3 linked regions of the Caenorhabditis elegans genome follow. The protein of the gene in region 2 interacts with the protein of the main gene of each other region in a pairwise test. Each region holds a gene or a part of one and is shown on either strand. Other genes may lie near its edges.

The links.
Region 1: the proteins of npr-10 (region 2) and col-125 interact in a two-hybrid assay, tested with the Caenorhabditis elegans proteins (one large-scale study listed by BioGRID).
Region 3: the proteins of npr-10 (region 2) and F52C6.3 interact in a two-hybrid assay, tested with the Caenorhabditis elegans proteins (one large-scale study listed by BioGRID).

The regions. Positions count from the first base shown.
Region 1 is NC_003282.8:11,223,347-11,227,016, reverse strand, and holds col-125 (Nematode cuticle collagen N-terminal domain-containing protein), read right to left. Parts: upstream 1,512-3,670; 5' UTR 1,502-1,511; coding exon 1,421-1,501; intron 1,351-1,420; coding exon 532-1,350; 3' UTR 501-531; downstream 1-500. Other genes in the region: best-7 (Bestrophin homolog), read left to right, coding at 1-28, 77-163, 215-306; C29F4.3 (G_PROTEIN_RECEP_F1_2 domain-containing protein), read left to right, coding at 3,081-3,213.
Region 2 is NC_003284.9:13,031,065-13,034,823, reverse strand, and holds the start of npr-10 (G-protein coupled receptors family 1 profile domain-containing protein), read left to right. Parts: upstream 1-2,119; 5' UTR 2,120-2,192; intron 2,193-3,759.
Region 3 is NC_003280.10:1,923,044-1,926,372, forward strand, and holds F52C6.3 (Ubiquitin-like domain-containing protein), read left to right. Parts: upstream 1-1,715; 5' UTR 1,716-1,723; coding exon 1,724-1,835; intron 1,836-1,883; coding exon 1,884-2,210; intron 2,211-2,261; coding exon 2,262-2,416; 3' UTR 2,417-2,677; downstream 2,678-3,329. Other genes in the region: F52C6.4 (Ubiquitin-like domain-containing protein), read left to right, coding at 104-215, 270-460.

The sequences.
Region 1 (3,670 bases), on a different chromosome or scaffold from region 2:
AGTAATCCAGATTGTATCGTGGAAGTTGGTAAGTTGGCAATTTGACTTGAATTTATTTGAATTTATTTCTTTTCAGATGAAGAATCTCAAGATATTCCAAAAGTAACAGAAGAGCCAAAACAGGAACCGCCTAGAAAACGGGTCAATATTTCCAATAAGCGAGGTAAAATTAATTTACTTTTGATTACATTTCAAGTGATATTTCCAATTTCAGAGAGTGTGATTTCAATGGGAAGATCAAGATCATTCAATCACTTTGGAGAACATTCTGATTATCACGATTATTATGATTTTGATAAGCAATAGTTCACATTTTGATATTTTTAAAAAGCTATACTTCTTCATAACTTTGGCACAAGTGCTTTCTTGGATTTTTGATTCTGTAAATAACTATGTACAAATACAAAAAAAAAATTTTTTTAATTTTTTGTCATTTACAGTGTTTCTTTCTTTTAAACATTTAGCCCTGTATGCAAAACAAACAAAAAATATTGAATGAAGAATAGTTTATTTTCTTTAAATGAGAAAAATTTAACGGCGAGTTCCGTCCTCGAAGAAGACTCCTCCGTCGATGGCGCAGTACTTTGGACAGATTCCCTTCTCTCCGGCACCTCCGGCAGTTCCAGCTTGTCCTGGGGCTCCTGGGTTTCCGTCGGCTCCTGGGGCTCCTGGGTTTCCATTTGGTCCCTTTGGTCCTGGGGCTCCTGGTTGTCCATCGTGTCCTGGCTGTCCTGGGGCTCCTGGTTGTCCTTGTGGTCCGGCTGGTCCAGCTGGTCCTGGTGCTCCTGGGGTGATTGGCTCGGATGGAGCATCTTGTCCTGGCTGTCCTGGGGCTCCTGGGGCTCCTGGGTTTCCGTTTGGTCCAGATGGTCCCTTGTTTCCTGGGGCTCCTGGCTGTCCGTCTTGTCCTGGGGCTCCTGGGTTTCCGTTGGCTCCGGCATCTCCGGCTGGTCCAGCTGGTCCTGGGGCTCCAGCTGGTCCGGCTGGGCATGGCTTGCATGGTGGTGGGGTGATTGGCTCACATGGCTGCTGTGGTGGGCGTCCTGGGTTTCCTGGAAGTCCTGGTGCTCCTGGCTTTCCTGGGCGTCCTGGTTTTCCTGGGGTTCCGGCTGGTCCAGCGGCTCCTGGAAGGCAGCAAGCATCACATCCTCCAGCAGAGGCGGCTCCTCCGGTGACTCCAGCATCATATCCAGCTTGACGGGCGGTACGGTTTCCAGATGGGATGGATTTCAATTGGTTGACCTCGGACCAGATATCCTTGGCGGATCCCTTGCAGAAGTTGATCTCTGAGTGCATGGTTCTCTTCACATGGTGGACATAGTTGTACACCATTGGAAGGGTGACGCATACCTGAAAATAAAGAGTTACTTTAATTGTTTCCTATGTTTTAAAATTATAGTTTTTTTAAGTGATGACTTACCGAAATAACGGCGACGACGGAGAAAGCAACGGCCGAGTAGGCAACGAAGCGGTAGGCTTTAATACGCTGTTCGAGATCCATTTTGGAAACTGAATAATTCATTGTCAATGTTTCTTTTATAGTTGCCTCAAAATCAGACTCCACCCACAAAAGATACCTAGCCTTGGCAACACAAAAAGAGAAAAACTTGATCGGTAGGCACGCACGTATGCATCTTCTTCCTCCGTCCCTCTCTTTTTTCTTTTGTCTATGACATTGTAATGAACGAATGAAAAGGCTGGTATCGGCTTGAAACAAAAAAGAAGCTTTTGACAACTTTCGGGTGTTACACAATACGTGATCTAATCGGGTGATGTTGAACACCTTAATCGCTTAAATTTGAATCAATTATAGTTTTTGAGAAAGTGAAAGCATTGCGTAACTAGGATATTTTCAATCCAATTAGAACATGGAATTCAAATGACCTAAAATAACAAATTAGGATTAAAGAATACAACCTTGAACAAATGAGGTAAAAACCAGAAATTAGTTTTAAATTTTGGAAAAGGTTTGATTATGTTTATTTGGTTTTGAAGTTTTAGGAATTTTTTGTTAAAGCTCCAGTGGGACAATGTTTGAAATAACTTCTGTGTTGCTAAAATGATCTATTTTTTATTAAAGTGTGAAACAATTTTTGAAATGTTCTCTTCACAGTGAAAAAATAAAAATAATCAGTTTTCATCAATCATTACTGTGGAAAATGTATTTTAACGATTTTTACTTCCGTACATATATTTTCTGAAAACTCAAAATTCCAAAATACGGTGAAAATATGGGAAGCAGGCTAGAGACAAAGTGAACGCCTAAAAAAATACTCGAATACTACGGAAACCAAAAATCTGACAAAAAAAATATGATAACTTTCAAGTCGGCAATGTCTACTGGTTTTATATGATAACAATATACACAAAATACTTTTCCTATCATCTATATTTAACGAATTTGTCAAATTTTATTTTGTATTAGATTTATATAATTTGATTTTTGATGATTTGATAAGAATACTTCAAAGGAACATTATCTTTGAGCAGTTGCATTTTTGTAATGGACCGAAGGGAATCATCCGAGTTCAAGATTATTCTGATAAAATTTTCTGATATTCGAAGTGCGTACATTTTTGAAGTCTTTCACATAGAAAAACAATGCGCCTTGGCACATCTATTTTCTAAAAATTTTCAAAGTTTTTTGCAGATAGAGTATTAAAAATAACTTTTTTTTAGAGGAACCAATTATTTTATTTCAGTGTGCTTCATAATTGCAATATAATCTCTAAACCAAAAATGAAATTACTGCCAAGTATAATTTTCAGATTGCCTCCAAAATATCAAGACCAAACCTCCAAACTACCATTTTTCTGATTTATTTCAAATTTAAAGTTGAATGCTACTTGTTGTTGATAGCAACGGTTTTATCAGAAAAACAGGTGGAAATTCAGATTCTCAGCTGTCCTGACAACGATGCCGAACTTCATTCTTTTTTTTCAACTTCCACTCATGGATGCTGTTTTATTTTTCTTGTAGTACATATGGGTTGAGTAACATTTATTCGACTCTCGCAATTTTGTTCTTACAAATTATTTCAAATTTCAGATTTGTGATGGTAAGAAATTAAAATTTCAAACATGGTTAAAAATAAAATATCGACAACGACAGAGTATTCAACGTATGATTGGGAGAAGATTTGGTTTTCCGATGAGACAATTATTGGAGCCAGGGAGACACTTATTGATTCATTGTATATTGCATTGACTCCAGGTAAAAATGAAACATTTTAGTTTGTAAAACTGGATATTTTAGATTTATTTTAACTTGAAAATTGAGTGCATTGCTTTGTTAATATACATTATGAAAACATTGGTGTGTTTCTGAAAAATTATATCACTGAGCACGGCGTTCCTCAAAACATACTTTTAGAATCTCTGAAAATTTATCTGAAATAAAAAAAGTTTTAGGAGTATTGGAAGCACTTCATAAGGATAATTGGTTAAAATTGGCTTCAGAATTGTTTTGCAAAACCTAGTTTACTATATAGTCACAAAACGAAAAAAAAGTATAATATAATATTCCTGTACAAACAAACGAATAAGAAAATTGTTGGTAGACACCCTGAAAATACTTCAACAGATGTATTTCTTGACTATTATCAATATTATCAATTAAAATGTTCACATTAGACTATCCGCATTCCCGTTCAATTTTTCAATTTTTCCCT
Region 2 (3,759 bases):
TAGGTACATATATCAAAGGGTTAGTGCGACGTGCAAAAAATGTGTCTCCGAAAAACGTTATCAACTTTCTCTTTATCAAAAATTTCAATTTGTAATCAGCGAAAAAAGGGAATAGTAAAAAATAGTAAAAGTAAAAAAGGGAATACTAGCTTAAAGAGGAAAACTAAGTTTTTTGGGATTCAATTTCACTTGTTCTAAATGTAGTTTGAAACTCATCAGAAAACAATCACGGAATAAGTTGGCTTGTAGAATCAATTAACGAGACCCGGAAGTCAACTTTTTGTTACCCTTTTTTTGCAAATTTGATGGAAAAAAGTCCCTCCGTTGTCTAATCCTTATCCCCCACTACGAACCAAGACCAATCCGAAAACCAATTGAGTGCCGCACGAAACCAAAATTGGGGTCCTATCGAGAGGACTGCTGACTGAAAGATAAATTATAGTATTCCTGAGTTTTTTTTTCTAGAGTGTGTGTATGTCTAAGTTGGAGTCAAAATAGCTTATGTTGTTTTTCTTTTTATTTTCAAGTTTTAAATTCTCTCTTTAATGCTATATGCTACCCTTCATAAATACGGGGTCATGAATTGAATTTTCCTGGAAAAAAAGAACCAAAATAAAATTAGAACTAGTTCCTTGTTTTAGTTTTTTATTTCACTTAAAGTTTTAATCTAATTGTGTCGTTTCCAGACATATATTTCTGCGATTAATTCTTACTTTCCAGGTTATATTAAAAATAATTTCATTACTTGACATTTTCCAATCATGGCTGTGCCTGATAGAATTAAAATAGAAGAAACTCGGAACGTGCATTTTCATTAGACAAACTTAATCAAGCCGCCGTGGTTGTTTTAGTGAGTCCGTCGACATCATCACACATGTGGATATGTAGAAAAAAGCAAAGGAAAAATGGAAGGGTGCTGCAATTTCAAAAGGGAACCCTTTTTTCTGTTTGTTTTTTGTTCCGATTGCATGTCATTTCTTTAGAGAAAGAACCACTACGGTATCTTGCACTTTTCCGTTTTTTTAGATTGTTGCTGGAGATGAAACATAACATACTGACAATTTTTAAAATTACATTATTAATTACATTAATTACATAATTACATTTTTTGAAATTTGATTTGGTGTCGCTCCTTTTTTAAAGTTAAGTTAACTAAAATTTGTAATAAAATCAAAATTCAGAAACTCGCAAAATGTCAGCCAAGTTTAGAACATTTAATGTTTAATAAATGTTGTCCCGTATGTGGCTATATTTTTTAAAATAATTTATCCGTGGCTACAAACAGAAATTCGCGCTTAACATTGCCTGCGCTTGTTGTCAAAAATTTCAACAGTAGAGATGATTGCTTGCCCAAAATTTATTTTTAATTTTGTTCTGAATTTTTAACCAATCATACTAAATATTTTATGCTTTTTAGCTAAATTTTTAGCTAAATTGACAATTTATCATAATTTCGGATTATTATAATATATAAATTTCTGTGAAGTCCAATATATCACAATTATCTGTAAGTGCAAAAACCAACAAACCCTATTTTCTTCAAATTATTTTGAGTTTTTTTTTAAACTTGTAGGTGGTATATTAACAGCCGAATGCATGCTCCTCAAAACGGATGTAGAAACATCTGCAAAATTTTCCAAAAGTTTTGTACATGATTAAATACATAGTATCAAGAATGTCACACCAAATAAAATGTTCTCGAAATATTCGAAATTTCTAGGTATAACTATTTTCAAATCTCATATTCTTTTCACAATTTTCAGAAAAATTAAAATTTCTGGCCATCGAACTTACTCTAGGCAGTAGCACACCAGAGTAAATAGCATGCGTGAAATTGACCGTAAATCTTCAGAATGCCACTTTCTAATGCCCACTTTTCTCATCTCTTACTCTAACGAAAAGTGCGGTTTTTCGGTATTTTTGGTTTCGTTTTCTAATCCCGGATGTTTCATTTCCTTCCTTAAACTTTGATGAGTTGCTGGACTATACATATTTCAAGAATCACAATACTTTTTGTTTCTATTTCGGAATATCAGTGTTTCATGACGTTTTTGTTCTTCTTATCTAATTCGATTCTTGACTTTTCACTCCAATGGACCGTGATCATTTTTTTGTTTCAGAGCGGAAATGAATCACACTTCTAGTGAAAACTTCACAACGGACACTACAGAAGCATTGCTCAACGATACATAGTAAGTGACTGAATTCTTTTTCAGAAAACTGATATCATTTTCTCGTCGGGCCCATGCTGCTCTAATGAGGCTAGCGTGACAAAATTGAGTGCACATACGATGAGAAAAATGCAAACTAGATAGATTTGAAGTGATGGGTGCAAAAAAGATGCAAAAGTTTATGATGCGTTTGCGTTCTGTTAACAAATGCATGAAGGATGTGGCTTAAGAGTTTAGGGTTCAGAGTTGAAAAAATAAAGTGTTTGGTTTGAAGATTTTATGAATTGTTAGATCGAGAATCGTATTTATTTCATTAAGTTCTTGATATTTTTATGATCTTTCTTTTCACAAATCCAATATTTCTCTCACTTGGAGTTGGAATTAAAAATGAAATATTGATAACTTCATTCTTCCTAAAAATCGAGTACTGCTTCAAGCAAAAAAGGCAAAAATCTTTCTGTTAAATATTCGTGGTTGTGTTGGCCTTTTTGTTACTGCCGAATCCCGGAATGTTTTTAATTTGATGCATCAATAATTTTCCTTAGGCCTAAAACTGCAAAACTTCCAACCAGCATATCTATTGCATAAGTACTGAGCAGAATCAGAATTTTTTTTTGACAAACAGTACGAGTCAGTTTAAAACATGTTTTGATTGTTCTAGAAATATTGGTCACTTCAGAAGCGGTATTTGCAAAACACAACGTTTTTTTTTTGTTATTTGTACTCAGTCTCGGGACCCTTTGGTTGTTGCTCTCTACAGAATAATAAGGAAAACTCGTTATCACGTGATGAACTTTGCTCGGCGGAATAAAGAATCTGAAGGACCCTTCATTGTGTTCTGCATTAAGCTGCACGCCATTTTCAAAAAGAATTTTAGTTTTGGAAATATTGCTATTATTATTATTCCTGTAAATGTATGCTTAGGAATTCCTTTTTCTAGTATTGTAGCATCTAATACAATTTTCATCAAAGACATAAATGTCAATTTCTATCGGCTGTTCTCTCCCTGTGAATAATACGACAATTATATTAAATTAATTTTCATTAGTGAATAAGCGTAAGTAAACTAGAAACAAAAACGTCACTGACCCCAGCTGAGCAGTGGAACAACATTGTTCTTAACTCAGTAAAAAAAAAGAACATTCCTTATTTTAAACCAGGCAAAAAAACAACATGCTCACTGAACGACTATGTAAATGTTCCAATATTCGTTGGAAAAAGTACACATCCCAACGCAATATTGAAAATCTCACGGAGCGACTATTTGTTGAGCGCATAAATCTTACAAATCTCTACTCAAGAGTCAATCGACTTTTTCATTTTCTCACACTTGAGACATCTACACATTCACAATAAAATCGAATTTTCCATTGCTTCTAATTGTTTTTATTTTTAAATTTTTTCCACACCTAGCTTTTGTAAAATGAAAACTTGTGTCGTAGCAAGATTTAATAGAAAAAATGATTTAAGAAGTCCATTGCAAAAGTATTAAATTTTTTATTATAATACCGGATAAGATTCACATAGAAAGTTTAGCCGAGATCAGTCCGACTAGAATTTGATGTGTCAGATTTGATATTTGGATTGC
Region 3 (3,329 bases), on a different chromosome or scaffold from region 2:
AGTTCAAAACTTCCCGAAGATCAAATTTCTGTGGATTGTTACTCTTTTTTCACTGTTTTTTGTTGCAATACTCTCAATAAATTCAACTTTTCCAGCTAAAACCATGCTGCTCTCCGTCAAAACGTCGACTGGAAAAACCATCACAGTGGAGGCGCCGAAAAATGTGAAAACTGAAGTTCGCGACAAACAGGGAGTCGTTTTCACAGTCTCTTACGGTATTTATCGATTTTTTTTTTGGTTTTTATTTCAATATATGTTTATTTTTTCAGGAGAAGTAACCGGAGATCCAATCACTGTTGAAGCATCGGACGCCATCAAGGATCTTAATTTCAAGGTTGCCGAGGCTCAGCGAAAACCGCATCGTGAAGGAATGCGAATTTACGTTAAAACTTGTGAAAAAACGATCACTCTTGACACTGCTGCCTCCGATACCATTGCAAGTGTTAAGGCTAAAATCTAGGAAAAACGAGGTTTTCCATCAAATCTGCAGAAACTATATTTGGGTTAGTACTTTGAAACTGATAGCTTGTCTAATTTCTTTAGTTTTTACAGAACCTTCCAACATTGTTTTGTGCAAGGATCAACGTACTATTTCTGACTACAACATCAAAAACGGCAGTACTCTCCGTTTGGAAGTTCCTGTAAAAGAAAAACTGACGGTTTCTGTGAAAACCTTATTCGGAAAGACGATTCCTATTTCAATCAAGAATACGGATACTGTTGAGACATTGAAGTTCAAGGTTCAGAATAAACACGGTGTTCCACCAGATCAGCAGCGTCTCATTTTCGGTCGGGCACAGCTCGAGAATGACCGTGCTCTGTTCGCCTATAACATTCGTGATGAGGATATTATCCATTTAGTCTCCAGACATCGGTTGTGAAGTTCTCAATTTGATTGCTCTTAATCTGTTGTTTTGTTACTTTTTTGTTTTTTATTGTTGATAAATGTTGAAGGTTTTTTTTTTAATTTTTAAATTAAAAACACTGTCTCAAAATATTACAGGTACCATATTTATGATATATGAGGGTTTTTTTCCAGTAAATTCTTCTGTGTTCTGAATTTCCGACTTAAACATTTTATTTCGATGGTTCAGAAAATTGGTTTTTCAGGTTTTTGGATACTTCAGGCTGATATTTTGAAATACTCGAATTTAATTCAATTTAGCATTATTCAACCCGCTAGAATTTCTGTTGGCACATGTTTCTTCAATTAGAATTTCTATTATTTAAAAAACCACAAAGAATTTAATAAAAAATCAGCGAAACTACGGTAGACGAGGAAGTAGGCAGTTGCACACGATACACATTAAATAATTGACTTTTCCGTTTTTCTTGATTCAGTACTCGAAATGTTTTCATCGAAAACTTAGAAAAAAGTTTTTTAATATAAATGAAATTTCAATAAAATTTGCGCGTCAATTAAAGTGTTCTTTGTGCATTGTGAACTTTTTTTGCTTACCGTAGTTTTGCAATATTTGTTTTTCGATTTATTGACTTTTTCAACGCAATTCTTCTTTATAGCTTGCTTTTTGCCCGTAATTCATCAAAATCTTGATAATAATATTTATTAATTCATTCTATTCATATTTTTAAGAAAAATCATTTCGAAATTATCCAAAAACCAGATTTCTCCCTTGTTTGCTTCTTTTTTCACCGTTGTCCTCGTTTTTCTGTTGCAAAACTCTCAATAATATTTAATTTATAAATTTTTCCAGCTAAAATCATGCTGCTCTCCATCAAAACGTCGACTGGAAAAAACATCACAGTGGAAGCGCCGAAAAGTGTGAAAACTGAAGTTCGCGACAAACAGGGAGTCGTTTTCACTGTCTCTTACGGTATTTATTGTTTTTTTCTGGGTTTTGCATTAAAAAAATCATTTTCAGACAAAGGTACCGGAAATCAAATCATTGAAATGGAGGACACTGTCCAAGATGTCAAAATTCAAGAGGCTCAGCAAGCACCGCTTCGTGAATCAGAAGAAGTGACCGAAGATCCCATCAGTGTCGAATCATCGGAGGTCATCGGAAATCTGAATGTCAAGGTTGCCGAGACTCAGCAAGAACTGCATCATGAAGGAATCCGAATTTACGTTGAGAACGCTGGAAGAACATGCACACTTGACACTTCCGCCTCCGATACCATGGCAAGTGTCAAGGCTAAAATTTGGGAAAAACTAAGAATCCTCCCAAATACGCAAAAACTATTATTGGGTTTGTACTTTAAATATTGAAAGATATGTCTAATTTCTTTAATTTTTACAGAAAACTGGGACCTAGATTTGTTTAGCGATCATAGCACTCTTTTTGACAACAGTTTCGAAAACGGCAGTACTCTTCGTTTGGAAGTTTCTATAGAAAAAGAAATTGACGTTTTTGTGAAAACCTATACCGGAAAGACAATCACCATTTCAATCTAGAATACGGATACTGTTGAGACCTTGAAGCTCAAGATTCAGGATAAGGAAGGTATTCCACCAGATCAACAGCGTCTTATTTATCAAGGATCGCAGCTCGAGGATGACCGTACTTTGATTGCCTATAACATCTATAATGAGGCTACTCTCCGTTTAATTCTCAGACTTCGTGGATGAAGTTCTCAATTTGAATATTGTTAATTTGTTACTTGTTATTTTGTTACTGTTCTGTTTATTTTTGTTGATGAATGTTGAAAAAGTTTAGATTTTTTTGAAATTAAAAATATGGTTTTTAAACAGCCGGTATATTTCTTTGTGTTCTGAATTTCCAACGTAAAGAATCTTTTTCAGTGATTCAGAAAGTGTGCTTTTCAGGTTTTTCGTTAATTTCTGTATTTCTCTATCATAGAATACATTTCAACTCACAAGAATTTTCGTTAAAAACCACAAAAAAATTAATAAAAAATCGGCAAAACTATGGTAGACGAGAAAGTACGCTGTTGCGCACAATGCATGTTAATTGACGCGCAAACAGTTTTTTGTAATATTTTTTTCCTGTTTTGCTTGATTCAGTACTTGAAATGTTTCTTTTCAAATATTATAATAGTTTTTTTTAAAATTTTCTGCAAAAAATGCTGAAATTCTAATAAAACCAAAAAAAAACTCAAAAAACGGCATGCGCGTCAATTCATGCGCATTGTGTTCATTGTGAACTTTTACGCTTACCGTAGTTTGTCGAGATTTGTTTTTCGATTTATTGATTTTTTCGAAACTCTTGCCCATATTAACTTGCTCTTTCTCGCTATTTATCGAAATTTGAATGAAAAAAATTAATTTAGGTGCATTATCATTTTTTATTTAACAAAATAAGTTCAACAACTACTGAAAATCCAATTTCTGTCGATTGTTATTCTTT